Saccharomyces cerevisiae S288C: one gene and its partners. Changing the gene in region 3 together with the main gene of any one other region gives a genetic interaction. Each region holds a gene or a part of one and is shown on either strand. Other genes may lie near its edges. The genes, in order: SFC1, RIP1, PEX22 and PMP2.

Region 1 (9,012 bases), on a different chromosome or scaffold from region 3:
CATATTTTATTGTGTCACTAATATCGATATCATCTCCATTTCTGTTGCTCTTTTGAAAGTTATCATGGTTATTGAATGATGAGTGGAACGTAGATGCGGATTCATCATTAGAAAAAAGAGATGATAATGAAGAGGATCTGGTACTTTCAGAGCTCTTTTTTCCTCTTTCAGGACCAGTTGCCATTGTGCAGTCCTTCGTAGTTTTCGTTTCCTTGGAAATAGGCTGAGAATCAATATTTTCCAAATTCAGAAACTCTTCATTGAACAATATTTGAGGATTAATTAAATGAATTGGTTGTGTATGAACCAAGTTCTGCAGCTGAGATGAGGCAATTTTGTCAGACTTTTCAAAATGCCAACTTCTAGGGGAAATTGTAGATCCAAAAGAAAAACAAGGACGGTCTTCTTGATCGGTGGTTGTGTCATAATAAATGTTAGGTTGTTGTTGCTGTTCAAAAGGAAAGAGGAAGAAACCATCTTCTAAGGCAGCGTGAAGTTTTCCATGCATATCCGCTTGCATTTTGTTTGTGGGGAGAGGAATAGAAAAGCTTTTCTTTTATTATTTTTTTCCTTTTTCACCAGTAATGGGTGCCAGTAGGAATTTGTTTCTCTGTAGGTGACTAATGACAGTAGTATATTATGCTTTTAATCTTTAACAATACTACTGGTCGATTTATAATATGATAATGTAAAATAAATCGTAATAGGATAGTCGATGTTTGTATCTACTTCACGAAACAGTTATGGTATACGGTAGTTTAAATATCTGAAGAAGCAAAAATACCGAACTACAAGGGAAGCATTTTGAGAAAAATATTAAGATCAAAAGATAATTAATTTACCTTAAATACATAAAAGAGGAAAAGTAATATACAAGGTAAACAACAGGCAAGGAACAAGATCAAAAACGTCCGACCCCAATTTAGTAGTAAATTACAGTAAGAGAAAAAGGTATTGGGGCTGATACATATTAATTGTGCGTTGTTGTTGTTGTTTAATTTTAGATTGGCTATTATGAGTACACACAAAACGTTGTAAACGCAATCACCCATGGATAAGCGCTCCCTTTAAAATGCACTACGAAATCATTGATCTACTAACTTTAAACCGGACTTAAACCATCAAAGGGTGCTCTAGATCTCATCGATGTATTCTGATGCAGCCAAAATTGCGCAATCAATCACGTTTCCCGATATAGAAAACTAATTGGCTGTGTTACGTGGCTGGGGGTTCTGTAATTCCTTTCTTCCCCGGTGAATCATCAAGATTGGGCTAAGCGCCTTTGATCCTTTCCCTCGAAGACGGAAATGGGGCCGCAGGATAAAAAATGGTGTGTCTGTAATTCCGATTTTTTGCTTATGTAATCATGTAACTTTCTTCTAGTCCCTTTGCAGACATGCATGACACTTCCTTACCCGAATAGTGAGTTAGATCTGTGTTAGGATGCAGGATGGGCAGTTCAAAGGCTTTTCTTATCGTATCTTTACCTTTTCCTGTAACTAAGAAGGTTTTTGAGTGCATGTAAAGGCACATAAATGAAACTTTAATTCCCTGCGTATTTAAGACCCAAGAAGCCACCATGACGCTTCCTTGATGTTGTATCTACCCCCAATCCTGGCGCCCCCTCCTGCGGGCACGCATGCGCCTTTGATCCTTCCCCTCGAAGACGAAAAGTAAACAAAGATACGCACTTTTTTTCTCCAACGCAGTATTGAAGGTACCATCACATGCTTACTCACTTTGCGGCTGCTATAACACCGTGGCAGTGTAACGTTTTACCGTTTGTCCTTTGCTACCGCATTTTAAAGTGGTACAAGATGTTGAGAGAAAAGATTTCCTGCAGCCATGATTAGGAGAGGTAATAGCGGATGACATCAACGAATAAGCTTTATCCAGCGGCTTGTATAGTTCTGTGTACACAATTACTGCCGGGCTCTCTGAGCATTTGCGTTTCTCGGGCTAGCTTCATTACTTAGTAACTTCAAATTAATGAAATATTTAATTATCATGATTCCAAACAAAACTACTTTAATTTCAATCACATTTTTGTTATCTGCCTGAAACGATAGCTGTACGGGTACGTTCTTGATAAATAAAACTCAGTGTTTAAAACTCTCTTTTTACATCTGTTCGCCGATGATTGCTTGCTCGGAGGTACTAGTCATCGGAATTGAGGAAATTCCTTTTCTCCTTTGTTTTCTCTTTATCCCCGCGTAAATACGCGGAATGCCAATAATCAAGTACACATTCTTTCTCCAAGTTGGCCAAAAAATAGTTCAAATTCTTTAAACTAAGCGCTATTAATTATTATTAATTATATAAGTTTGAAAATATCAATGCAGGACCCTATTTCTTCACGAGGGTGTATCCAGAAACGGTTTCTTATATAGTGTTGGCGCTCACTTTTTTCCTACCCACGTCTATATATGCAACGCCTACTTGTTTTAATCAACATCACAATTTTATGCTTTTGAGGTACAGCAGTTAGCCGTACGTTTTCGGCAGTCGCTAAAAATGTAAGCGCGGCATTTACTGCCATTTAGTGGACTTCTTGAGGTTCTTTTGACATCCGCATTCTTGCAGCAAATACACCCCCACCCTTCTTTTATTGAGAATATCTACTGAACCTCCGTGAGGGAATACATTAATCAAATTACTCCAACACCATACGGGCCGTGGCGGAAAGAACAGCATGATATAGATAATATATGATATGAATTGATTTTTTTTTCTTTTTTTCTTGCGGCTGGTATGGTATTGTAAGGATGATAGTGCATTCTATGAGTGATTTTTGTGACGGTGACGTACGATCTCTATACCTTTTTAGCCGCCCATCTTCTGCCTTTCATTTTTATGCCAACCCTCCATCCATACATCCTTTTTAACCCATACATATCATTTAGATTATTGTTTTTTAATTTTTTTTTTATCAGATGTTGTTCATCGCGAAATTTATAATCTTTCGATTGAATCGCACTTGTCGTGCATAATGATAAATACCTTCCGGAGAGAAAACTCAGACCCACTGGGAAGTTCCTACCTGCCGAGTAAGACCAGCTTGAAAAATTTGAAATTTCAACTGAGAATCAGAATATATTACTGCCCTTCGTGTTGTAGGGTTATTCATTAACTATATACGATATTATAAACAGCATAGATAATCAAACAAAAAAATGTATGCATATAATAGAGGAATTGGATGACTAAATGTTCTTATATTGGAGTTAGTGGAGATGCGTGGTAGATTTGAATTAAATAGAAAGTGCTGGGGTTGATAAACCACGAAATATCGCAGTTGAGGAGAATGATAAGCCAGGATAGATGGTAGCGCATTTTTGGGGCAATCTCACTGTAGGTCCACCACAACTCAATATGACTACATCGAATCAGTTATAAGGCAAGTTTTTAGTTTACTAACAAATATTTCCATCTTATTTTTTTTTTTTGCAGGGCTAAGAGAACAAAGAAGGTCGGTATCACAGGTAAATACGGTGTCCGTTATGGTTCATCATTGAGAAGACAAGTTAAGAAGCTTGAAATTCAACAACATGCCAGATATGACTGTTCCTTCTGTGGTAAGAAGACTGTTAAGAGAGGTGCAGCTGGTATTTGGACTTGTTCCTGTTGTAAGAAGACCGTTGCCGGTGGTGCTTATACTGTTTCTACTGCAGCTGCCGCTACTGTTAGATCTACCATCAGAAGATTAAGAGAAATGGTTGAAGCTTAAACTTCTTTCATTCATTTTCTCTTGGCTTTCACTAGGTATATCTATTCCATAACGACTATGTTTTGTATTTGTTAATTTACATAAAACCATATCAGTACATCAACGAACTGTAAAAAAGAAACTTTAGCATAATTATTGCGGATATTTAAACTCACTTGCAGGTAAGAGCAAAAGGCGATTGATTTCCAGTCCGCCTCTTGTCACGTGATTTAGTAAGAAATTTTGACAGCACCCTCGGTTTAATGGAAAAGAGGGGCGTTTTTCGATGAACCCGAGGGGAGACTAGAGAATCATCTCGGTTGAATGGAGCATTATTTTTTTAGTAGCGCCCGCCCGGAGAAATGGACGTTGGCGAATGAGCCATGAATTATTAACCGCCCATGTCTACCAGATACCACATCGTATGACAGTACCAGCCTAGTCCCGGTAAACCGCAAACGGACCTTAATTGTGACGAAGGGCCCAAATTTGATGGGTCGGTGTTAATGATTAGTCCTCATTGTCATAATAAAGTGTGATGATGGAGGCAATGATGATATACGGTAGTACTACTGCTCGAGGTGCTATCTTTTAACCAATCCTTTGAGATTCTTGTCGCCACGGAGTTACTACCTTTTACAAACCGTAATGTCACATTTTGCATATATCTTATGTATAAATATATAGTTCACTTACTACTTGTTCTCGTTTTGTTAACTTTCTTGTTGTAGTTCTTCTTGTTCTTGGCGTTTCCCCCTTTGTTTTCTATCTGCTTCATAAGTAAAGTGCAAAGCATTTTGGAAGATATTATCAATTGAGTCATTGAAAGAAACTTGGCATCTTCCCTATTACTAAAACTAAGAATACTTGATTCAAGAAAGAAGTTTATATTAGTTTTAGCCGTAAGATAACATAACAAAGAAGAAGAAAGAAAAATGTCTCAAAAAAAGAAGGCTTCCCATCCAGCCATCAATCTCATGGCTGGCGGCACAGCAGGTTTATTTGAAGCATTGTGTTGTCATCCTTTAGATACAATTAAGGTGAGAATGCAAATATACAGACGGGTAGCTGGTATTGAACATGTTAAACCCCCAGGATTTATTAAAACTGGGCGTACCATTTATCAAAAAGAAGGTTTCTTGGCTCTGTATAAAGGTCTAGGTGCTGTGGTCATCGGTATTATACCTAAGATGGCAATCCGTTTCTCGTCTTATGAATTCTATAGAACCTTATTGGTTAACAAGGAATCAGGAATTGTGTCTACCGGTAATACTTTTGTTGCTGGTGTTGGGGCTGGTATCACCGAAGCTGTTCTTGTCGTGAACCCGATGGAAGTTGTAAAGATTAGGTTACAAGCTCAGCATTTAACTCCGAGTGAGCCAAATGCTGGTCCTAAATATAACAACGCCATTCATGCAGCCTACACTATTGTCAAAGAAGAAGGTGTTTCTGCCTTATATAGAGGCGTTTCCTTAACTGCGGCAAGGCAAGCAACTAATCAGGGTGCTAACTTCACAGTTTATTCTAAACTGAAGGAGTTTTTGCAGAATTACCATCAGATGGATGTCCTACCTTCATGGGAAACTTCTTGCATAGGTTTGATTTCGGGTGCTATTGGGCCGTTTTCCAACGCTCCATTGGATACTATAAAGACAAGGCTGCAAAAGGATAAGTCCATCTCATTGGAAAAACAGTCCGGTATGAAGAAAATCATAACCATTGGTGCTCAACTACTGAAAGAAGAAGGTTTTAGAGCTTTGTACAAGGGTATTACCCCAAGAGTGATGAGGGTGGCTCCAGGTCAGGCTGTCACCTTTACCGTTTATGAATATGTAAGGGAGCATTTAGAAAATTTGGGTATATTCAAGAAGAATGACACACCAAAGCCAAAGCCATTAAAGTAGATGATGAACAATGGGACTACAAAATGAAATAAAGAAAAAATAGAAATAGGCTAGAAGATCAATTATTAATCGCCCTATTCTTCCTTATTACCTACACAAAATAAAGCAGCAACATAAGAAACAAAAACAAAATGAAAACAAACCAAATAAATCTATGTAAGCATACTCATTTCAATTTGATATTCATTACTTGACTTTTTTGTCCTTATTTGAGGCTCCATAAGCGCGCCATTTTTCCCTACTCCCTTTTTTCGTAAATAGTAATAATGTGCTGAAAAGAACAATGAAGTAGTTATCATACATATTCCGTCGTGTCGATATGAGGGGAGGTGTCTCTTTCTTTCATCCCTTGTCGCAACCTCCAATATATAAGAGCATAAGCAACTGATCTTACTTTAGTAATTAACTTAGCATACCTAGCCCGAAGGAAGAAAAAAAATTCACCTCAACAACATGGTTCCTAAGTTTTACAAACTTTCAAACGGCTTCAAAATCCCAAGCATTGCTTTGGGAACCTACGATATTCCAAGATCGCAAACAGCCGAAATTGTGTATGAAGGTGTCAAGTGCGGCTACCGTCATTTCGATACTGCTGTTCTTTATGGTAATGAGAAGGAAGTTGGCGATGGTATCATTAAATGGTTGAACGAAGATCCAGGGAACCATAAACGTGAGGAAATCTTCTACACTACTAAATTATGGAATTCGCAAAACGGATATAAAAGAGCTAAAGCTGCCATTCGGCAATGTTTGAATGAAGTCTCGGGCTTGCAATACATCGATCTTCTTTTGATTCATTCGCCACTGGAAGGTTCTAAATTAAGGTTGGAAACTTGGCGCGCCATGCAAGAAGCGGTTGATGAAGGATTGGTTAAGTCTATAGGGGTTTCCAACTATGGGAAAAAGCACATTGATGAACTTTTGAACTGGCCAGAACTGAAGCACAAGCCAGTGGTCAACCAAATCGAGATATCACCTTGGATTATGAGACAAGAATTAGCAGATTACTGTAAATCTAAAGGTCTCGTCGTCGAAGCCTTTGCCCCATTGTGTCACGGCTACAAAATGACTAATCCAGATTTATTAAAAGTTTGCAAAGAGGTGGACCGTAATCCAGGTCAAGTTTTGATTCGTTGGTCTTTACAACACGGTTATTTACCACTACCGAAGACTAAAACTGTGAAGAGGTTAGAAGGTAACCTTGCAGCCTACAACTTTGAACTGTCAGACGAACAGATGAAATTTCTTGATCATCCTGATGCTTATGAGCCTACCGATTGGGAATGCACAGACGCGCCATAAAAAGAAAATGCGAACCGTAGAATAACGTATATAGAACATATAATTAGTTTACGTTTCACAAAGTATTAATATTACATGTAGCTTTTTCAGGACTTTCGATCTAAATCAAAGATTAAAGGAGCTGCTAGAGGTAGAAAAGGAAATCATTGACTTTTCTTGAAGATTTATGAGCGGGTAACTGGAGATGGAAATTTTCAGAAAAATTGTAAATGGATGCGATGACTTCGATGTGACGTTACTAGTCTTACCATTGTAAAAACCACTATCGGTGCCAAAAGATAAGCGCAATCAACTAAGAAATTTACCACGCTCTTTGTATTGTATTTATCTCCAATTTAATCTTTCTTTTGGTGTGAAAATTTAGCGAAAATGTCATTGGTGAATTCGTTAACACACTACGAAATTTTAAGAATTCCATCGGATGCAACACAAGATGAAATCAAAAAGGCATATAGGAATCGGTTACTAAATACGCACCCCGATAAACTTTCTAAAAGCATACATGATACGGTTAGCAACGTCACAATCAATAAGATTCAAGATGCTTATAAAATACTATCGAATATAAAAACTCGTCGCGAATATGATAGGTTGATCCTTGAAAACTATAAACGCCAAGGATTTCATAATTGTGGTGATGGGCTGGATGAATTTTCCTTAGACGATTTCTCATTTGATGAAGATAAGCTGGAGTTTATGATGAATTGTCCTCGCTGTCAATTTGTTGGTGGTTTTCATTTTAGTGAGAGTTTGTTAGATGAATGCATTGATAATGTAGACGCTATGGAACGGAGTCATTCTGGTTATCAATTATTAACCCAATGTAGCGCATGCAGCTTATGGCTGAAGGTTAATTTTGACATCGAGGAAGAGCAAGAAGGACAATAATGAAAATGGGAGGGGAAATTGAGCATATCAGATAAATCTGTTTATAGAATTATTATTTTACTTCGTGGGAAATCGAATGGTGTATATAAAAGAGGTTGTAAAATTGACGAAATAAATAGTATTTAGGCAACTAAAGATAAAAAAATATTATTTATTTTTATTCGCGGTGCGTTGCCAGATTTTTTTTGACATGCGGAATTTTGGTAAAAAGAAAAATGCAGATATGAATAGTAAACAAAGGAATAAAAAGCCTTTCATGAAGAAGTTCGTGTTCGAGATCTTCTTCCTTCTTTTTCGCTGTCGACGATAGATATGAATGCTTTTGCCATTGATTTCAAATCCGTCATTAAGCTAACATGACCTGAAGAACTGGCGATTTTACAAACAACTGGAAAGCCTCTCTGTTCAGGCAATAACCATTTATGGTGAACAACACCGTCGCCCGGACCATAGTAAAAATCTTCATAATTCCCATCTTTTATATCTTGTATACCGTTCACTTTAGCACCTCTAACAGTGGGAACCTTGTTACCGTAAACCATGGCCAATGGAGGATATTCTTTGTTCGGGTCGTAATCTAAGCTATCCAAATAATTCTTTGTACGTTTTAAAGTTCTCGCTAAATATTCACAGCTATCTTCATAAGATGTATGGAAGACTTCATCGAAAGGCACATCCCTTGGTACCTGTTTATTATTGCCGGCTACATTCCTAACAACAGGTGCATTTAGGACAAACTTGGTAGTTGCGTTTAGGGTAGCTTTAAGCGAAAGCGCTGATTTCGTTTTCCTTGGTAATAATTTTGATTTTTCGTGAGCTGATTCCTCTCTTTTCTCATTGACGAGAGGTGACAAGCCAAGGGTTTTCCAAACATCTGTATCAAAAAAATCGAAATCATACCTCTCTAAGGTAATTTTGTCAACAAAACATCTACCATCTAACGGTAGAAAATAGAAACTACTTCTCATAAAAAAGTTGGTTTCTTTAGTGAAAATAGTTTTATTCCACATCACATCATCTCCAAACCTAATAGGACCTAAAATATTTGGACATTGGCTTGGGGAACCCACGTAAATAATACCTCTTATCAAATGAGTACAGTCTTGCAACACTTTATGTGCGACCAATCCGCCCATTGAATGGGCAATGATGTATATTCCCTTCTTATTTTTTTGCTTATTGTAAATTTCCTCTAGTTTAGTCGTTAAATGC
Region 2 (8,922 bases), on a different chromosome or scaffold from region 3:
TTTTTGTAATCATGCAACGTTCTCATCCACAGCTCACCAATGAATTCCGATATTATATAAATTTGGCCCTCAGTACCGCAAAGTAAAAATAGAGGTATGACGCCTTCCAACCTTTGACTATTGAAATTTGGACATATTTGAAGGTTTTGAAATCCATCTGGGATGGCCGCCAGTGAGATTATCTTATTAGGTAACCGAATTTTGAGGTATGGCATAGCCAACCCGCCCTTATCAACTGATAATTTAGAATCTTCGTATATTGTCAAGGTATTATCAATACCAATGGTGGCAACATAAGATCTATTGGAATATTTCAACGTTGCACAAGAAAGGTCTGATAATCGACCTAATAGATAGTTCTTATCACTCGCTAAACAATCGTTTTTAGGTTCTCTTAGCTTCTTAGGAATTATTTTAGTCGCCACTTGTGTAATGCTTCCCAACCGCTTAAAACCCAAGTAGGGACATTCAGGGTACTCTGATGGATATACTATGGACGTCCTAATTGGAAAGCGGGTTCTCAAAAAATCTCTCAAGATCTCAAATTGAACCAGATAATCACCACTCATATAAGCTGGAAGACCTATATGGTTAATCGATGAAAGTGCTGGGAAGGAATAGGCCTCTAAAATTTCCGCGCCCTCTTTTAGCATGTTTATTTTATATGCTGCTATGCCACTATCACCAGAAAATAAAACCAAGTTGCACTCATAGTATATGAACACCGAGAATATACAATCTTCGAGATAATTCGCGTACAATTGGGTAATGTTATTGTTTCTAATTTCAAACAGCCAGAATTTTGTACGTTTTTCACCAACTCCTAAGCATACAACAAACTTATTACCATAAAAGGGTCTCTGTGATAAGTAGATTGAGTTTTGTTCTGGCCACAGTGGCTTCACAACGGCATGTAAATACTTTTCATCCGAGAAACTGAATGTGGAAACTGCCTTCATTGAAGCATAATTGAATAGCATCAACTTATACTGCCTACTATTGCTATCGACCAAACACACCACGGCCTGATTGAGGTTATTTGGAACAGTATAGAGCTCTACGGGAATGCTAGGGAGGTAAAAGATATGATTTTCTAATTGAGGTTTTAATGAAGTCATCTGCTTAGTGAAACCTTCACGGTAAAACGTGCTACCAAACTCAAAGATGCTTATTCGAGAATCATAATCTAAAACACAAAGAGAGAACAGTGCTTTACCGGGTCGAATTCTCATTCGTCTTGGAACTAAGCCTAACTGTATGCAACCATAAGACATGTTTTGAAGATTTAACAAAATTATTTCCTTATCGTTGTAAAGGAAAACCAAAGGTAAGGAAGGAATCGTATCCAACAGTTCTAATTTCTGATCGTATAACGAATGAATCTCTAAATCCACTCTCAAAAAATTTGATTCTGATTTGTAGACTCTTACGCAGCCAGTGTATGATGATGCGATGACATAAATCGAGTCGTGTTTATGCTTTTTGCTTAGCCAAGATATTTTTATCAATTGATCATAGGCTATGAAAGAATAGTCTGGATGTGATGTAGCCACTTTCTTTTGATTGGCATTCCATACCGAAAACACACCGTCCAAGTAAATGACAAAAAGGTATTTCTCGGCACCATCTGAGAAACAGCTCACAATACTCTCTTTAGAATTGAGCCCATGGATAAAAAATTCTTCTTTTTTACGTAGAAAACCAGATTTTGCCTCAAGTATCGAAATCCTGAGCTTGGAGTTCTGTACGGGATAACAAAACATGGTGGAAGAGTTGTGGTTCGACTGCAAGAAATCGACCTGCCTAAATTCTCCGGTAGAACCATCCATACCGGCTTTCAAAACTTTTCCCGTCCTAGAAACAAATAGACCGTAATCATAAGGCTCATCCATTAAAAATATTCCGTTCTTATAAATCAACCCACCTGATTCATATGCAAATTCGTCACCACCATTAAGTGCTAAATCTGTAACCCAAAAATCAGTTACATTCTCTACTAGCGCTTTGGAGGAAGTCACTAACTTGAACAGGGTTTTGTCATATACCAAAATTTTCTTTTCTAAAAATCCTCTTCTTGAGTTAAAACTTCCACCCAAAAGCAGTGAATCAATATCTGTCCCCTTGTTTCCAATAACTTGTGATGCCAGGTAAACTTTGTTTGTATAAGCGGGACCGCTTTTCACCTTTTCTAATTTTGAACCTCGATGATCTTTCGATATAAAATTTACTCCATTTATTCTTGTCACCGCTATATACTTTTCACGTGGGAGCTGCAAAATAACATCGCATAGATCATGTTTAGGAGGCTTGAACACTCTTTCTTTTGTCCATTGTAGTTCTTTCAGGACGTGGTCTCTATGTAACGACCTAGTGTGTATCTTGGCAGTGTATTTGTTAGCATACACGTCAGAAATTGTCAAGAGAATGACTGATCTTTCATATATCACATCATAAGAATCTTTTAGAAATTGGTAGTTTTCTACATTTGGGAGACCTTTATTATTGAAAAAAGCCCCGTTTGTAAGCCCACTTGCTTTTATATTTATTATTTGAGTGTAGTTAGTAGTCAACACTACAATGGTATGGCCGCAAACTACCTTCATATAACAAAATTCATTATCACATATCGGCAAAAGATTGTATTGGCGGTACTCGTTTAAATCAAATTTCCTACTTCCATGCTTTCCAGCAAGATTGTATTCCTTTAAAAACAGGTTTTCACTATAGCAACTCTTAAGTAGGCAAAGAAAATAAACGTGTGATTTACCTGTGCATGTGGCGTCGTCAAGCAAATCCTCCCTGCTAATAAAATCAAAGGAGATAATTTCTTCGCCATCGGTGGCATAAAATCTTTCGACTATTCCTTCTCTGAAGTCAAAGGAGTAAATTGTCGTACATAACGTATGCAAATCACTATCATATGATATGTTTTTATTGCAAGTGTATAAAACACCCTCAAAGGAAGCATTTAACCAGCTGGAAGTTAATAAAGAAATAGTATCCAGTTTCGGAGCCACATTAGAGTCGTAGATAATTTCAAATTTGTTATTTTCGCATTTGAATCCCTTAATGGAACCGTCGTTAAACATTAGCAGGTGACAGAAGGAAGCTGACATGAACATCGGTACAGTTGCGTAGTTAACAACGAACGGTCCATCTAAAGCGAACTCAACCTTCGCTTTCAATTCGTTGGACGTTCCGGTATACAATCCATAGCTAAAACATAAAAAGTAACTTCCTTCGTGATGAAGACAACTTACCAGCTTCTCAGCCTCATCTTTTGATCTATAAGATGTTATGCATAAAGGTAAAAAGGCCGAATTGCTATCCAATTTTTTGCAGTCCGTTTCATCTTGTCTTGCCATTTTACGTGGCAATGGCTAGTGCAATATGCAATGCGCTAACGCTGACATTATAACACAATATATTTTTCTACCCTCCCTTTCGCTGAGTTGCGACCAGAATGTCTGTTTTTCAGTCATGTATTTCTTTCCGCTTTAGGCGTTCAGGCAAGCGCGTTCAGTTGAAAGCAAATAGAACCTATAACGACGAATACGCTTAAAGGAAGTATACAGGAAATAGAAAAAGAAGCGTACTGCATGTACTAAAAACCAAAAAAAACACCACATCGGCTCTCTGGTTGTATCCATACTTTCCCTAAAATTTTGTAACTCAAGAAAATACCTACATAAAACGATAATCAGTGGATTGCACTGATCAAGTCGAAAAACTCCGTACATGCCCGTCTATCCCTGTCTCATCCATATAAACTGAACTAGGTAGAAAAAAATACCTACCCTTTCTTTAACCGCCTGGTATATTAAATACCATTGTCAATTGAGAAGCTAACAGCCATTGTAAGAGTTATGTCCAGTGTCCGACTAAGACAAGGTAACCATACGTTGATAGCTATGAATACCCCAGAGGAAGATTATTCTTTCTCATAAATCCTTTTTATTGGTTTCAAAAATCCACCAATAAGTTCATATAGCTTGGGCGGCTATTCATGCGTAATATAATGTGCATGAAGTACGACCCATCGACTCTTAGAGCAAATGCTTCCTAAATTGAAATAACTAGCCGCCTTTAATTCGAGCCTTCTTGTCATCTTGTGTATTTCATCCTTTCAACTTCTCCTGTTCCACCTTTCACTCTAAGCTTCCCTATCATTTGGCCTCTTTCAGGTTCGTCCATAGCGCATCTTTTTCCTTTTAGACACTCCATAACGGACCAATCAGCGTTTTGCGCCATTTATCGGTCTTGGGTCACGTGCGGCGACGCGGAGGCTCCCTTATAAGGACTGGAAAAAGACCTGCAAGAACTATAGTTGGTTCTTGAATATCAAGTAATATATTACTTCTCTGTCGTAACTTTTTGTTGCTTTCAAGTTCAACGTCTTTTAAAAACCAAGAAATTATTGAACATAAATAATATCACTCTAACACTTATTAGGAAACCGAAAGGAGCAATAACAAACATGTTAGGAATAAGATCATCTGTCAAGACCTGCTTCAAGCCAATGTCTTTAACTTCCAAAAGACTGATTTCTCAATCTTTGCTGGCTAGCAAATCCACGTACAGGACCCCAAATTTTGATGACGTTTTAAAGGAAAATAACGATGCTGATAAAGGCCGTTCTTATGCTTACTTTATGGTCGGTGCTATGGGTCTTTTGTCATCTGCAGGTGCCAAATCAACCGTAGAAACCTTTATTTCATCTATGACCGCTACTGCCGATGTTTTGGCTATGGCTAAAGTTGAAGTTAATTTAGCGGCTATCCCATTGGGTAAAAACGTGGTTGTCAAATGGCAAGGTAAGCCTGTGTTCATTAGACACAGAACTCCTCATGAAATTCAGGAAGCCAACAGTGTGGATATGTCCGCTTTGAAGGACCCACAGACCGATGCTGACAGAGTCAAAGACCCTCAATGGTTAATTATGCTGGGTATTTGTACTCACTTAGGTTGTGTTCCAATTGGTGAAGCCGGTGATTTTGGTGGTTGGTTCTGTCCTTGCCATGGTTCACATTATGATATTTCCGGTAGAATCAGAAAGGGACCTGCCCCCTTAAACTTAGAAATTCCTGCTTATGAATTCGATGGTGATAAGGTCATTGTTGGTTAGGTTTGTTTTTCGTCCTCGAAAACTACATCTTTATTGTCTATTTGTTTCACCCTTATTTTGATTTTTCATTTACTATCCATTATGTTATGAACGGGAACTATACAACTAACCTAAGAATTTTGAAATCACAACAAAAATAATCAACATCACAGTCTCGAAGGGATTACGCTCAAAAAGGAACGAAAATCACTATACTGTATTCCCTGTTGATTTTCCTAAGAATATATTCTTATACAATATGGAGAAAACAAAAGGATAAGAAAAGAAAGGGGAAATAAAGAAGATTTGGACCTATTTATTACTACTTTTTTGTCTCACCATCTTCTTTTTCTATTCATAATATTTGATATTCCTTTATTTATCTGCATGTATTTATAATTAACGAAACTATTTATCTTCCCTCGTCCTGCCTTATCCTTCTTTTCTCCAAATGTTTTACCTAAGATTGGCCTGTATTTGAATATTGATGTCCAGAAGCAGAAGATTTCACATGTTGTATAAAGTATACAAGATTGTAAAAATGATTGAAGTATTTTTATATATGTATATTACCTATAAAATTTTTTATATTACGTACCGAAGGGGTTTTTTTAATGCTAAAGCGATTCATCTTGCTGTAGGTATATTTTTAAATCATCTGGAATATCTGTCCAGGAATTACTATCCCAGTCCATGAATTTCTTTTTTAATTGGGAGTATTTACTGTCAAATAATCTTGAATTGTATGTCGTTGCAAAATAACTTGCTTTTTGACCCATGTGGAGTTCCTGCCCTTCCTCATTATCAAAAAAGCCCCCATTGATTTCACTCCCGTTGCTATTATCTTGCTTATCATATTTATTTGAAACTTTATTACTTTTTAAATCAATACCTTCCAAATCTTGGAACAATTGCCTTACATATTCCGGCATATTGTCCGGTCTATACCTACGATCAAACTTAATTCTCCAATAGACTGACCAATGTAAACTGACATATTCGGGTACATAACGAGATCTTCCGAGGTTAGGTGTATGAAAATTTTGCCACTTTCCTTCTTTATTTTCCATTCGTATTCCAATGGGGAGCAGTTCCAATACCCACCACACCAATCTCATAAATTTATTTGCATGTCCACATTTAAGAGTAAAAGCATCCTTCACTTTTTCTTTTTCATCTTTCAAGCTCAATCTAGTCTCTTTTATATTTTTTAGACAATCTTCCATTCTCTCATTTCTGCCAGATTTATCCTCTCGGGCTCCATCCTCATTATCACTCACTCCTAGTAGGGAACATTTCTTTGGTGAGTTGAAACTAAGGTAATCATGTGTGTCTGCGAATAAAGATCCAATCGAAGTGTGTTTGGTAGCGAAATCATGTATTGCACCAGGTTTGAATTTAACACCAAATTTGATTGCCTCTGCTAAAATCCATCGCAGCGTTAAATTTGACAAGTTCTCTTCTGTCTCACAGTCAGGCGCCCAACCTCCACCAACGTCAGAATGATCACCTGGAAACCATTTTTCAATCAAGTCGGGTGTCATAGTCATTCTACTTGATGTACCGCTGCCTTGGATAGATTGAAGTTGGAAAATGGCTTCAATTCCTCTTGTTGAACATTCTGTATCTCTCGCGTATGAATTACCTTCTAAGAATGAGTTCAGGTCCAACAGCAACTCTGTAGTTTCCTCGCTTTTGCTCGATAACAACCTTCCAGGGTTATCAGGAATGAGTGGAGAAGGATTACTAATAGAATGTGCGCCACTTTTTAAAGTGTATTTTATCAAAGGATTTTCCGGGGTTAGATCACGCATTAATGCATTAGAAGTTGGCACCGGCGAACACTGGTCAGTTATATGATTACAATATGTCAATGAAAATAGTTTCGGAATGTACGGCATCGGAGTGAAACATAACTGCTTGAATTTTCCACGTCTTTCATCCAAGGATACGCAATGTCGAACATGCTCAACGATATTGCTTCTCTGGGTGCAAGGAAACAACCTGTCCCTTAATATTCCAACTGAGTTCACAGAATCGAATAAGCCTTGAAAATGTATCTTTACCTCGTAATCCCTAGAGAATGTTTTCTTGAATTCTTCAGCCAAGGTACTTGTGTACTGTAATTCATTAGGCTGCGAATCGTATTCCCATTTTTCATAGATTTGCCATGCCATTTTAACCATTTCTTCCAAACCTTTACTCAAAAGTCCGACTCTTTCAATCATTCCAGCAAGAACTCTTGCAATAAAAGCTCCTCTAGAAAAGCCAAACATATAAATTCTATCTCCTGGTTCAAAATACTTCATCAAAAAAAGATATGCAGAACATATGTGATTGTCTAAACTGAATGCGAACATAGAATCTAATAAATTTTGTAAGTGAGAAATAGTTAACCGTCTTCTGACATCAACAACAGCGTCAAATCCAACTGAACCAATTCCAGGTTGGTAATAACAAATTTGTTCAGAACTATCACCGTTCTCAAGAAGGTTGTACAATTTTAAAATATTAGTGAATGGCTGAGGTCCAAAATTTTCTCTTGTTCCATCAAAACAAAGAATGATATTCTTGCCAGACGATGAATGTGAGGATGGATTTATACTTCTGTCGCCTCCCGTCCCATTTTTTTTATATTTTCCATGAATATAATTGAAGCTATCCATCTAATGGATATTATGTTAGTGTATTATTTTTTATAAGTTACATCACCTGTTTGCTGTTATTTTACTACATCTGTCTGAAGTACATTAATTTGTGGCGGTTTAACAGTATATTGAATGTGACAAACACACCCAGACACCTCAATAGACAACAGGAGGGCCATTACCATAATTTCATAACATTAAATATTCCAAGTAACATTTTTCAGAAGACGAAGAAAGACTAATTAACAGGATAATAAATATTAACATTATCTTTTAAGTACCATACTTGAAGCGTCAATTGATGTATGTTTGGTTTTCCACTATTTTCCTAAAAGCATGAATCTTTTCTAGGCAAAAAATTGGAATGACGACTCCTGATCGTTAAAATGGAAGACAAACACTAGAAGTTGACTTCAAAAAAACTTCTTTCATTAAATAAGGGAAATATCCGGCCGGCTCATACTGATAATATACCAGCAACATTTACAGGAAACTGCAGGTTTTAGGCAGTGTGGCGAACCGCAAATAAAGTAATAAACAACAATTTCAAACGGAAAGGACTCCTCTGCTAAAGATTTGATGTTTTTAAGTTCTTTTATAGTTTATATTGGCATAAGAGGTAAACCATATTTAGCACTTATTTTCATAAAGTATTAGAAGTGTTCTTATATATTTCATTACCCGACTTGAAAAATACTACGCGGTTCATTGCGAGAACCTTCAATAAGTGTCGAAAGAGCACCTACATTGGCGTTTAAATAATAAACACACCAACCTACATATTACGTTGAATTTAAATTCTTTCACTGCTTGTAAACCATAGACAATAAACTGATTAATTTAGTATCTAAAAAATCTTTTAAAGGGAAAGAGAAGAGGCGGAAAGATGAGTGATAGGGAATTCGTCACGGTAGATCCCGTCACTATCATAATCAAAGAATGCATTAATTTATCGACAGCGATGCGGAAATACTCTAAATTTACCTCTCAATCTGGAGTGGCCGCTTTGCTGGGGGGAGGAAGTGAAATATTTAGCAATCAAGATGACTACTTGGCTCACACATTCAACAATTTGAATACCAACAAGCACAATGATCCATTTTTATCTGGATTCATTCAGTTAAGACTTATGTTGAATAAACTGAAAAATCTAGATAATATAGATTCACT
Region 3 (8,598 bases):
ATGCTGCTTCTTGGTATCAGGACTGTCCCCGCTAGCATTGTTTGTATTGATCGGACTTGCTGATCTCTTGCCTGATTCATTCACCTCTCTCTCTGTTAGTAGCTTCATAGCTTTATCTTTCCAATAAAACATATCTTTTTCCAACCTTGATATAATGGCGTCTTTACTCGGAATTCGTGGTGCTGGCTGTTTTGATACGTCATAAACACATTTTAACCCATGCTTGACGCATCGACCACATTCAGGTTTTTCTCTATCACACTTTGTTTTTGACTTCCTACAAGCCTGGCAGACAAACAATATTCTATTTCTTTTCCTATTATGTGTTTCGGAGTTCTCGGGGGCAGGCGATGTGCTTGAGTGCTCAGCTTCTAATCCAGGCGTTGGGTTATTGAACCCTAAGAAAAACGCCTCCGAATATGGCTTGGTAGAGCTATTATCATCATTTCCGGCATGTGGGGCCTTCTGCGTACTATTTTCGACCATGACTTACGCAACCTAATCTATTATTAACCTGCTTCTAACACAAAATAGCCAACAGTAAATCCCTTCTGGAGGATCTGTTTCCTTCTCTACACGTCAAAAAAGATGTCAGAAAAAAGCGGCAATTGCGTACATTTAAGGAAGCAGAGCCAAAGCGAATTTCACATTTAAGGTTTTTATCGCTGAAATATGTGTGGTGTTGGGATGTAATGGAGATAATACACCTTTTTGAGCGGTTTTCTATGAAATATAATGTAGGATATCCTTGCCCTTAAATATTTATATAATAAGTTGTTACATGTGAGTATATATTGGATTACAAATATGGGTTGTTGTTGCGGGCGTTTTCGTTGCTGCCGTTGTTGTTAAAATGCGAATATGATTTATTGGAATTCCCCAGGTAGAGACTTGATTCAGGCTTCATTAAACTGGAGGTGCTTGTATTATTCGGCGCTAGATTAGTACGAGAAGCAGATGACGCACGTTGGTACTGTGGAGACAAGAAGCTGCCACCCGTACCCATGACAGCGGAGGTTGGTTGCACAGGTTGCTCCGTTACTTCCGAGGCATCGAAGGGAGAGGAATTTTGCTTAAAAGAGGATGAACTAGTCTCATCATCAAAGAGTCTTGCTGTATTTGTGTTTGCATTCAGGTTCTTGCCGAAAGTGTCGTCACGGAACATTTTTTCTTCCTCATTTTCATTGGTGTCCATAACAGCTTTTCTCAATTCAAACAGTTCAGAATCATTTTTGTTTTTGCCATCGAAATCATTTTGAATCTTAGGAATGAATGACACACGGTCATCTTTCATTGGTTGGTAACGGACATCTGGGTTTCTGTGTAGTAATGCCAGTGTACAGGTGACAATAGTGAACAATAATAGGAATAGAGCAAACACCGCGTTCAAAACGAACAGAATAACCGCCATCACTGACGAAACCACTGCTGGTTGCTTGAACAAATTACTGAAAAACAAAAAGAAAAATGCATTGATCAAATTCACCAAATGAATAGCAATATTGAAAACATTAGTTCTCTTGTCCAAATATGGTCTTATCCAACAGAGACAAACGAAGTAAGCTAGTTCAATGACAAAGATGATCATTGCTTGAGCCTTACCTTGGTTTTGTAAAACGGCAACAAACAGGGATCTTAAGAACGCATAACTTAATAAGGGTAAAAGCCACCAAAACTTATCTGCTTTGAATTGAACGTATAAGAACCCAAACTTGTTCAAGAAGTAGGTATCACTGTAAAGTAGGTACGCAGGATTCTTGTATAATCTGAGAGACTCTCTTCCCTTGATGAAAACCCTTATAGTTCCATAAACCAGAAGTCCCGTGATGATCAGTAATATTACTACCGCATCAACAACAATCGCTGGAGAGTTGACCTGAGTAAATTCCCAAATCGCCAGAAGAGAAACTTGAGGGAAGGCGATGATAGATAATCTGAAAAGGGTGCCTTTGATAATACTCCCCCAGTTCTTCCTATATTGGAAGAAATTGGAAGTCTCTTTCAATATTCTTGCTCTTGTAAGAACTTCCAATAGCGCCTTAAAGAAAATCAAAGAGACGACAACTACAAATAGGAAGAATAGAAAAAACACAATACCGGTCAAAAAGAAATTAGATAGCTCAATATTAGCCAAATAAGCAACTCTTTCTATACCTCTTAACACGAGAATCTTGGCTGAGTAATTGCTTGGATCCTTCTCAGAAGTGGTGTACAGATTCGAATCGTCTAAAATGGTGTCAAAATTGTAATCACTAGACGATGCCATAGAGATAGCACGTTTTTGCACACTAATGGACAAGACGTCCTTGTTAGCTACCACAACATTTGAGACACCATTAGTGGCCTGTACGTACCAATCAAAAATCTTTTGCATGAAGTTTGTATTGATGATACCCATGGACCATTGGAAATTCTGCGTCCACGCGGCAGCAATGGGTGGAACCCTTGAGACACCCATCATTGCAGTGATAGCTAGATTTTGGAAGTATATGAACAATGAGATGGAGTTGGACGCAATGTGAGCAGCAGTGGCTGAGTAACCGATCACAGACACAAACCCTGAGGTAAGTACACCGACACCTGAGATAGCGGCAATGGGCCAGGCCGCATACTTTGTTTGCACTGTCTTCCCGTTACTCAAGATAGCCTGGACACAAGCCAGCGGAGTTTCGAATTCCGTGTCATTCTGAGCGTATGCCACCACACGTACTTGTGCGTCCAAATCTGGAATGGTGTAAGCAATGCCGGGAAATTGCTTGGTAATGGATGATTCGATCACCTGTGTGGACATGACATCAATACGCCCAGCACTTAGGGGGCAAAGCGATACTTGGCCCAAGGAACATAAATCAAAAGTCTTATCCAGGACTTTCAGTCCGTAAGTAAGCAGCTCAGCCTTCACAGTGACGTTCCCATTAAGCGTCGTCGTAGCGTCAATATCAAAGATAACAGTATTATTATCGGGGTAAAATTTCACATCAAAGAATGATGCCGTTAATTGCGAATTGTCCATACACGTCAATAAAGAAGTGGTCTGCAAATGCTTTGCAGACGCCGGAGTAGTGTCGTTTGTGTCAGAGGAACGTGCTGTACCGCTGCACAGTACGAAACACGTTAAAAGGCACCTTGCGAAGGTGTTTAGGAAGATCATGGCTATATAATCTTTTTATCACGTCAATATAATCGTAATGAAACAGAAATGAATGTATTATAATACACTGAAACACGGTATAGCGCAGCAAATTGTTTTAGTTTAAGGGGTATAAATGTTTTCCAAGGGTGGTGTTCTATATATATATGCCATTCATATACTTTTAATAATGTTCTATACGTATTCCCGTGAAGGCATTAATGATTATCTTTTTCTTTAAAAATGCAAGATGGCTGAGTAGTCGCGCGAAAAAAAAAAAAAAAAGAAACAGCAAGGTTAATTTTAGAATACCAACAGGAAAAAAGAAAAGATTATCCTCCCAGAAAAACAATCTGTTTATTACCCGACATTCTTAAAAAAACAAAAGCAAATCACATGTGCACATACGTCCAGAATGATATCAAGATAAATGGCACGTGTATGTACGGCTGTGTAAATATGATAATCATCTCGGACGAACGGCGTAGCACTCTCCATCCCCTAAAAATGTTCACGTGTGACTGCTCCATTTCGCCGGATGTCGAGATGACCCCCCCCCCTCAAAAGGCACTCACCTGTTGACATGCCGTGGCAAATGATTGGGGTCATCCTTTTTTTCTGTTATCTCTAAGATCCAAAGAAAAGTAAAAAAAAAAGGTTGGGGTACGAATTGCCGCCGAGCCTCCGATGCCATTATTCAATGGGTATTGCAGTTGGGGTACAGTTCCTCGGTGGCAAATAGTTCTCCCTTCATTTTGTATATAAACTGGGCGGCTATTCTAAGCATATTTCTCCCTTAGGTTATCTGGTAGTACGTTATATCTTGTTCTTATATTTTCTATCTATAAGCAAAACCAAACATATCAAAACTACTAGAAAGACATTGCCCACTGTGCTATGTCGCCCTCTGCCGTACAATCATCAAAACTAGAAGAACAGTCAAGTGAAATTGACAAGTTGAAAGCAAAAATGTCCCAGTCTGCCGCCACTGCGCAGCAGAAGAAGGAACATGAGTATGAACATTTGACTTCGGTCAAGATCGTGCCACAACGGCCCATCTCAGATAGACTGCAGCCCGCAATTGCTACCCACTATTCTCCACACTTGGACGGGTTGCAGGACTATCAGCGCTTGCACAAGGAGTCTATTGAAGACCCTGCTAAGTTCTTCGGTTCTAAAGCTACCCAATTTTTAAACTGGTCTAAGCCATTCGATAAGGTGTTCATCCCAGACCCTAAAACGGGCAGGCCCTCCTTCCAGAACAATGCATGGTTCCTCAACGGCCAATTAAACGCCTGTTACAACTGTGTTGACAGACATGCCTTGAAGACTCCTAACAAGAAAGCCATTATTTTCGAAGGTGACGAGCCTGGCCAAGGCTATTCCATTACCTACAAGGAACTACTTGAAGAAGTTTGTCAAGTGGCACAAGTGCTGACTTACTCTATGGGCGTTCGCAAGGGCGATACTGTTGCCGTGTACATGCCTATGGTCCCAGAAGCAATCATAACCTTGTTGGCCATTTCCCGTATCGGTGCCATTCACTCCGTAGTCTTTGCCGGGTTTTCTTCCAACTCCTTGAGAGATCGTATCAACGATGGGGACTCTAAAGTTGTCATCACTACAGATGAATCCAACAGAGGTGGTAAAGTCATTGAGACTAAAAGAATTGTTGATGACGCGCTAAGAGAGACCCCAGGCGTGAGACACGTCTTGGTTTATAGAAAGACCAACAATCCATCTGTTGCTTTCCATGCCCCCAGAGATTTGGATTGGGCAACAGAAAAGAAGAAATACAAGACCTACTATCCATGCACACCCGTTGATTCTGAGGATCCATTATTCTTGTTGTATACGTCTGGTTCTACTGGTGCCCCCAAGGGTGTTCAACATTCTACCGCAGGTTACTTGCTGGGAGCTTTGTTGACCATGCGCTACACTTTTGACACTCACCAAGAAGACGTTTTCTTCACAGCTGGAGACATTGGCTGGATTACAGGCCACACTTATGTGGTTTATGGTCCCTTACTATATGGTTGTGCCACTTTGGTCTTTGAAGGGACTCCTGCGTACCCAAATTACTCCCGTTATTGGGATATTATTGATGAACACAAAGTCACCCAATTTTATGTTGCGCCAACTGCTTTGCGTTTGTTGAAAAGAGCTGGTGATTCCTACATCGAAAATCATTCCTTAAAATCTTTGCGTTGCTTGGGTTCGGTCGGTGAGCCAATTGCTGCTGAAGTTTGGGAGTGGTACTCTGAAAAAATAGGTAAAAATGAAATCCCCATTGTAGACACCTACTGGCAAACAGAATCTGGTTCGCATCTGGTCACCCCGCTGGCTGGTGGTGTTACACCAATGAAACCGGGTTCTGCCTCATTCCCCTTCTTCGGTATTGATGCAGTTGTTCTTGACCCTAACACTGGTGAAGAACTTAACACCAGCCACGCAGAGGGTGTCCTTGCCGTCAAAGCTGCATGGCCATCATTTGCAAGAACTATTTGGAAAAATCATGATAGGTATCTAGACACTTATTTGAACCCTTACCCTGGCTACTATTTCACTGGTGATGGTGCTGCAAAGGATAAGGATGGTTATATCTGGATTTTGGGTCGTGTAGACGATGTGGTGAACGTCTCTGGTCACCGTCTGTCTACCGCTGAAATTGAGGCTGCTATTATCGAAGATCCAATTGTGGCCGAGTGTGCTGTTGTCGGATTCAACGATGACTTGACTGGTCAAGCAGTTGCTGCATTTGTGGTGTTGAAAAACAAATCTAGTTGGTCCACCGCAACAGATGATGAATTACAAGATATCAAGAAGCATTTGGTCTTTACTGTTAGAAAAGACATCGGGCCATTTGCCGCACCAAAATTGATCATTTTAGTGGATGACTTGCCCAAGACAAGATCCGGCAAAATTATGAGACGTATTTTAAGAAAAATCCTAGCAGGAGAAAGTGACCAACTAGGCGACGTTTCTACATTGTCAAACCCTGGCATTGTTAGACATCTAATTGATTCGGTCAAGTTGTAATGATGATTTCTTTCCTTTTTATATTGACGACTTTTTTTTTTTCGTGTGTTTTTGTTCTCTTATAACCGAGCTGCTTACTTATTATTATTTCACCTTCTCTTTTTATTTATACTTATAATTATTTATTCTTTACATACTGTTACAAGAAACTCTTTTCTACATTAATTGCATAAAGTGTCAATCAGCACATCCTCTACATCGCTATCAACAACAAATTTGACAAACCTGCCTATATCTTCAGGAACGACTGCTGCATCGCTACCACCACTACTTGTGAAGTCCCTGGAGTTCAATATGCACTGAAATTTACCTAGCCGTCTTACACATGACCATAATCCATCCATGCTATCGCAATATATGATTTTGTGTTCGTTTTTCGTCTTGCGAAAGGCATCCCCAATGGCTTGTTTCATTGATCCATCAGTGTGGCTCGTAGGTACCAGCAAAACCACTTCATCAGCGGCGTACTCCTCCCACTTTATGGGCAGTCCTTGTATCGACTTGCTCATTATAATACATTTGCTCTTCCTTGCCTTTTTGTTCTCTTTTACTGAATCACCCTCTGGAGGTCGTGCCCCATTATCTTCCTTTGCACTTGTCACCTTTTGATATATATAGTAGGACGTGACCAACACTGCTATAGCTGTACCCACTATTCCTAATGTTCTTGTTTTGTTTATTCTACTTCTTGATGGTGGTGGCATGTTTTATATCTTCTTCTTCTTTATTCTTCATTATTGTTTCATTGTCTATTTCATCAGCACAATCTTCCCTTATATTTTATTTTTTTTTTTTCGATTAATTGAATTAGGGGACTATGAACCTAATTGTTAATTTTTTGCCAAAATATTTCGCTGGTATTGCGAAGGAGATTATTCTTTGAAAGACAAAGTGTTATGTGACTATAAAACAAAACTGAATATATTATATTCTACTACTAAACAAAGTTTACAAAGTGAAAGCATTGAAAACTGCCTTTTTATGCACTAGGATTTACGCTAGGAAAAATACTTTTCGTTATGGTACCATGTAAATATATTTCTTTTACATTGCTCCGTCTAGATATCAATCCGCCAATCAAAATAATACTTTTGTCACATTGCAAAGAAGTGCCACCGACACCAACTACTATATTTGAATTTGTATCTTCATTTTCGCTATCTTGTCTGTCCTCATCGTCTTCCTTCTTGGACAGAGTAATTTTATGTTCTTCCCAACACTGCGTGCTTAAATCAATTGTGTTCAAAAAATTACCACCCAACGGTAATGTATCGACCTTGCGTTTTCGAGGAGGCTCATCATCATTCTCCGAGTAAAATTGGTCAACATCCTCTTGTACCATACCACCTATACATACACATATTCGTCCAATACTTTCCATTCTGTGGCCAACGAGACCTACGTTCACACTATCCAATTTTTCATCACCGTCTTCGCTCGAATCTGCCTTTGCAAATGTCTCTATTGGAGTCCATGTCTCACACTCTAAGTCCATCAACCACATATCATCAAGAACGTTGAGACCGTTAGACCCACCATGCAATACAACAGTTTTACCTACTGGCTTCTCTTGGCTTAAAATTAATCTCTGTCTCCCTATCGCAGTCATTGGAATAGATGACGATTTTCTCCCTGGATTGACTATATAATTTTCCAAATTATCGTCCATATCGGGATCAAAGCTCGCAGCACTTGCGCTGCTGGCCGAGGCACCAGCTTTGGGCGATTCTTGTGCCGCAGAGCCACTATTGAAAAGATCTTGATGCGTGCCATGAACCATCATGGGGAAAACCGGTTTAGGACTAACAACGCGATCCTGTGATATATATGACGGTTTTAAAACAAAATGGTTTTTTAAGTTGTTCAATAGTCTCATGTCAAGAGAACTCCTATCCATTAACGAAGTCCCATGAACAGAAAAGGCAGAAAAGGCTCTTTCTTCGGGCCAATCCGATTTGTCCTTTTCGCTTGGCGTCAGTAGTATCGCGTTAGCTGTCTCTGAAAACTTACAATAACCTTTTTTACCGCGACGTATCACGGGTATCTCTATCTTCCACAAATCATTCATTGCTTCGTAACGATCATCACCGGTTTGTCTGTAACCACCAAATATTATAACCGTGTGCACAGTATTATGAGGTAATGATGAAAGTACTGCTGCTTTTTCAAGCCGCCCGGAAGTGATGCTGCTACCTTGTTTCATGGAAGCACTCCCCATTTTATGAATTTCGTTCATGCTTGAAGAATGAACGCTAGCTCTCCTATTTGGATTATCAATAGAAATTTGTAAGTGACCAAACCTCGATGACATTGTCGGATATGCATTATATTTGGAAGGTTGTACTATGATATCTATTTTAGTGAACTTGAACGACATAATATCGAGTATGTAACCAGTGTTATTCACATATAATCTTTTCTTGAGATGA
Region 4 (4,608 bases), on a different chromosome or scaffold from region 3:
GACATAATTAATAAACAAGATGATTGCAGCTAATTACAATAGAGTGTAGCGACACTCGATAACTGGGTTGAGAGTTTTTCTATCAATTAGACGGTTTACTGTGCGTTGATGGAAGATAATTTAAGGCTTTATATGACTGTGACGCTTGATACCAGGGTTCATTAAACACGCAGGCCACAAAACAGTTTCGAAATAACAAAGAAGGCCATTTCGAAGTGTGCTTACGATATGCTTCTTTTCGAGCAACCTGTTGACCTTGAAAAAAATAATGAAGATGATACGAACATAAAACCTTTCGCAATATCACGACATTTTTTATTGAAACTTTTGCTTTGCGGTATAATACTCATTGAGTTGCTTTTATATTCGAAGTGCCCAAAACCTATTGATAATGGGCCCCGGACAATTGCGAATAGATCAAATACTTACTTCAACGGCACACATGATTTCAAGACGTTAACGATATTGATATCTATCGATGGGTTCCATCCGAGATTGATAGATGCAAAATACACGCCATTTCTTTACAACTTGCACAATTTGCGGTCCCCGTACGATATGAATATCACGACTGCACCGTATATGATCCCAAGTTTTCCCACTCAGACATTTCCCAACCACTGGAGCATGGTAACGGGAAAATATCCCATTGAGCACGGTATTGTTTCCAATATATTCTGGGATAATTTCACGAGTAGCGAATTTAGACCAAATAACCTCGACGCAAGAATTTGGAGCAACACGGCTGACCCTATTTGGCAACTACTGCAAACTGAATCGCAAGGCGAATATAAAGTGGCCACGCATATGTGGCCTGGAAGTGAGGTTGTGTATGAGGACCACGGGGATGTACCTAGGGAAAGAATGCCATTTTATTTTGGGAAATTCAATCAATGGGAAAAACTTCAAGATAAATTAGCTCAAATTTTCCGATACATAGATATGCCTCAGCTTAAAGATAGGCCAGAATTGGTCATAAGTTATATACCCAATGTTGATTCGTACGGACACAGTTTTGGATACGATTTACGAGATAAGCGGCTACAAAAGCTGATCGGTGAAGTCGATGGATTCTTTCTCGATTTGATTGAAGGCCTGCAAAAAAGAAACTTGTTGAAAATTAGCAATGTTATGATTGTTAGTGACCATGGCATGAGCAATGTCAACGCGAATGACGGTGAGCATGTTGTTGTGTGGGAAAGGGTGTTCCCGGCCGACGCAATGAGCGCATTTATTTCGCATCTTTATAACGAGGGCCCCATGATGATGGTATGTTTGAAAAACCCTCGAGACAAGCAATGGATTTGTGACTTGATTGAAGCTCAGTTAGAGAAAGCATATGGAGATGAAATATCGAGGAAGTTTCACGTGATCCTGAAAGAAGATTTCGACCCGAGCTGGAAATATTTCCAATACGATAACAGAAAGCACAGATATGACGATAGGGTCGGCGATATCTGGATTCTCGCAGATGAATACTACGCCATTGTAAAAGAAATGGGTGATGTGCCTATCGGCATTATGGGCACACATGGATACAACTTTAACAACTGTAGTGATATGGCATCTATATTCATTGGAATGGGTCCGATGTTCAACAATGAAGTCGTACCTCCATTTGAAAACATCGAAGTATACAATATGCTGATCAAGGCAAGTGCGCTTTTGGGAGAAGAAAAGACAAAGAAGGAGAAGAGTTTATTACAATAATACAGAGTAGTAAATACACACTTCGCGGCTTACGTACGCGTGTGTATACGTATGTAAGAAAATATACTATAATACGTATAGAGTGAGGAGACAACTAACCATGGAGAATACTAGAGGTACCATACCAAGGGAACGGTTCACTGTACAGAGTTGTGTCCATAGTTGGTTAACACATCGAAAAGAATGGAAATCTATGTTTTTATTATTACAAGTTTTGAAGATTGCCAAAGAAATCAAGAATTTCGTGAGATTGAAAGTCATCGGGTCCAACTCGATGTTCAGGTCGTAGCGGATGAAGTTGATGTAGTATGACACTAACGTTGGAATACCCCTAAAGAAGAGCAGCCACGTGAGTATTGGTAAACAGAAATCGAGCGTGTATTGATATTTATTATGGGCGGCAACGGCGGCTTCCAGCGACGATGCGAGCGAAGAAGAAGAAGTTGGCTGCCCGGCGGCTAATATGTTTCTCACCAGAAAAGAGAATTCCAACAAGGAAAAAATCGTATCGACGGCGGAAATAGTGGAAAGATAGTCCTGAACATTTTCATTCAATTTCTGCGTTTGGTATCTAATATCGGAGAGGTATTCCTGAAAGTTAAACTTGAACTTAGTAAACGCAGAGGTGGACGAGTCGTTATCTGTGCTAAAATCCAACAAATTGAAGTTCGTTTTGGCGTTTGAATTTGCATTCCTGCTGGAAAGCGGCTTTGTCGCGCTTGTTTCATCGCCTGATTGCGGTTTCTCATCATCATCCTCCTTGATGTACGCTTTCTCCAGATCGGAATCATTTGTGGCGGTGTCACAGGATCCAGACCCAGACCCGTTTCCAGATCCGGATCCGTATTCGTTCCGTTCATCCTTTGACTGGTCCACTGTCATCGACTCATAAAAGGACCTTAGTTCCGGGTAGTCGTCTTTAAAATCCACAGGTTTCTCAAGATGATTCAAGTGCGATTCGAGGTAATCGATCATATCACTCTTCTTGGCATAATTGGGGAAGCCGTCAATTTCCAGCTTGTTGGCCAGGTCAATTAGGTCCGCCTTCTTCCAGCGACTAAAAGTTGACTTGGTCGGCATATTGTATTATAATGATCTGTGATGGGCTGTAATGCACTTTCACTTTTGTTTTCTCCCCTTGTATATAGATATTTTCGCACGTTGTTTACGTATTGTGTAGTTCTTTTTGTTATGAGTGACGAATGCACGCAAGTAGCGCGCAGGAAATTATCATCATATACGTATATCATCATATACGATTTACCACTTTTAGCACATTAACAGCTCGGGAAAGAGTTTCGGAACTCGGAAAAAGCACGACAAACGAGGGCGAGCCACTAAATTACCGCAATCCTACGACCACAGCAGCCCGGGCCCTCTCCAAAACCGCGCTCTAGCCCGCTCTGCTTACTCCCTGTGCAGCGCCGCCCGCGGTAGCACTGGCCAACACCCTGACGCAACTCGTCACCACGCTGTTGAGCTGTTTTCGAAATCCGTCCGCAGCCCTCCCTAGCTTTTGCATCAAAAAAAACCTCTCGCTATTTTTCCGGCGCGGATACTTAATTTCCTTAACGAATTACAGAACTTTTTTCTCTCTTTCTCTTCCACACCTTTTGGTTTAAATAAACAGTGAAAAAAACTAAAATTCCGTAATCACAACTCAATTTCCTTTCCTTCCTCTTGGTTAATATAAAATCAATTCTTCTTCCCTTCCAGTTTTTTCTCTTTCGTCCTTCCTTCTTCCTTTCTCTTTTTCTCCATCGTATACATACAAAACAATAAATAGTACAATAACAATTATACAAAGATGTTGATGAGCACGTTACCAGGTGGTGTTATCTTAGTTTTTATTCTAGTCGGTTTGGCTTGTATCGCCATCATTTCTACCATTATCTACAGAAAATGGCAAGCTAGACAAAGAGGTTTACAAAGATTCTAAGCGATCACTAGCAAGCCAAACGAGCTTGATGTTGTTTTCTCTTAGTTATCCTCTTTTTTTTTTTTTTTTCAATTACTGAATATTAATGAATAAATTAGACCTCTTTTCTCCCCAACCCTTTTAATTTCTAATAATTAATTAATTTTTCCTGTGTGTGTGCTATATTCCTACTTTGTATCTGTGCTGTTCGATTCCTCTGTTGGAACGATGTGATTTGCGTGGGCGTTTTATCGCAAAAAAGTTTTGGGCATGCGGGCGTGAATGGATGTTGTTTGCCGTGTGTGGGCAAATACACCCTGCTCTTCGTTTTGTTTGTCCCGTTCTTTCCCATTTTTACCTACCTACTATGTTTTTTTTTGAGAAACATGTCGCTTCATTTGTTATATATTGTTCTGTTAAAGAATTGTGTGTGTATTTTTTTAATAAAATAGTATATAATAGTAATGTTACAAGACTTTAGATTTTCGAAGTGTCGCCTACTATCTCCTTACTCTAGTGCTCTTCTCATGAACTGCACCGTATCATCCAATTCAAACTGCACTTGTCTAGCCAATTTCCAGTCGTCCGTACCAATGACCTTTCGCATTACACCGTCCGTTATGCTCTTTTGAAGAATCAGCTGCAGTTCATGAACGCTGCCGGGCGTTTCGTTCTTTATGTCTTCGTAATTTATCTCATTCTTGATAATGCTACCATCGGGACTCTTGAATAGCTTCTGAAAATTCCCAGTTTTACTTTCCAATTTATTCAGAACGGTATCTCTGTATAATTTCAATAGTTTTTCTCTTTTTGGGTCCATTGAATGCGCCATGTGTGGCGTAGTCGTAGTTATAGTAGCACTGGTACCAGCAGATCCACTTTTGCCAGCATTTGCATGTGGTTGCAGTTGCGATGCACCGGTCTTTATACCGTTCTTCAATATCTCATCCTCCATCATCCTTATTTGTTCGACCTGCGTT

The links.
Region 1: mutations in PEX22 (region 3) and SFC1 together harm fitness more than expected from each alone (negative genetic interaction), as found in Saccharomyces cerevisiae (2 studies listed by BioGRID).
Region 2: mutations in PEX22 (region 3) and RIP1 together harm fitness more than expected from each alone (negative genetic interaction), as found in Saccharomyces cerevisiae (2 studies listed by BioGRID).
Region 4: mutations in PEX22 (region 3) and PMP2 together harm fitness more than expected from each alone (negative genetic interaction), as found in Saccharomyces cerevisiae (2 studies listed by BioGRID).

The regions. Positions count from the first base shown.
Region 1 is NC_001142.9:605,132-614,143, forward strand, and holds SFC1 (Sfc1p), read left to right. Parts: upstream 1-4,641; coding exon 4,642-5,610; downstream 5,611-9,012. Other genes in the region: transcription factor IME1, read right to left, coding at 1-520; 60S ribosomal protein eL43 RPL43B, read left to right, coding at 3,174-3,175, 3,451-3,727; YJR096W (aldo-keto reductase superfamily protein), read left to right, coding at 6,064-6,912; JJJ3 (Jjj3p), read left to right, coding at 7,282-7,800; YJR098C (uncharacterized protein), read right to left, coding at 8,055-9,012. UniProt on the Saccharomyces cerevisiae protein: Transports cytoplasmic succinate, derived from isocitrate by the action of isocitrate lyase in the cytosol, into the mitochondrial matrix in exchange for fumarate.
Region 2 is NC_001137.3:102,783-111,704, forward strand, and holds RIP1 (ubiquinol--cytochrome-c reductase catalytic subunit RIP1), read left to right. Parts: upstream 1-4,477; coding exon 4,478-5,125; downstream 5,126-8,922. Other genes in the region: YEL025C (uncharacterized protein), read right to left, coding at 1-3,365; YEL023C (uncharacterized protein), read right to left, coding at 5,722-7,770; Arf family guanine nucleotide exchange factor GEA2, read left to right, coding at 8,639-8,922. UniProt on the Saccharomyces cerevisiae protein: Component of the ubiquinol-cytochrome c oxidoreductase, a multisubunit transmembrane complex that is part of the mitochondrial electron transport chain which drives oxidative phosphorylation.
Region 3 is NC_001133.9:40,452-49,049, reverse strand, and holds PEX22 (ubiquitin-protein transferase activating protein PEX22), read right to left. Parts: upstream 6,874-8,598; coding exon 6,331-6,873; downstream 1-6,330. Other genes in the region: oleate-activated transcription factor OAF1, read right to left, coding at 1-486; flavin adenine dinucleotide transporter FLC2, read right to left, coding at 800-3,151; ACS1 (acetate--CoA ligase 1), read left to right, coding at 4,028-6,169; GPB2 (Gpb2p), read right to left, coding at 7,149-8,598. UniProt on the Saccharomyces cerevisiae protein: Involved in peroxisome biogenesis.
Region 4 is NC_001137.3:121,839-126,446, reverse strand, and holds PMP2 (proteolipid ATPase), read left to right. Parts: upstream 1-3,517; coding exon 3,518-3,649; downstream 3,650-4,608. Other genes in the region: nucleotide diphosphatase/phosphodiesterase NPP2, read left to right, coding at 229-1,710; GTT3 (Gtt3p), read right to left, coding at 1,777-2,790; EAF5 (Eaf5p), read right to left, coding at 4,137-4,608.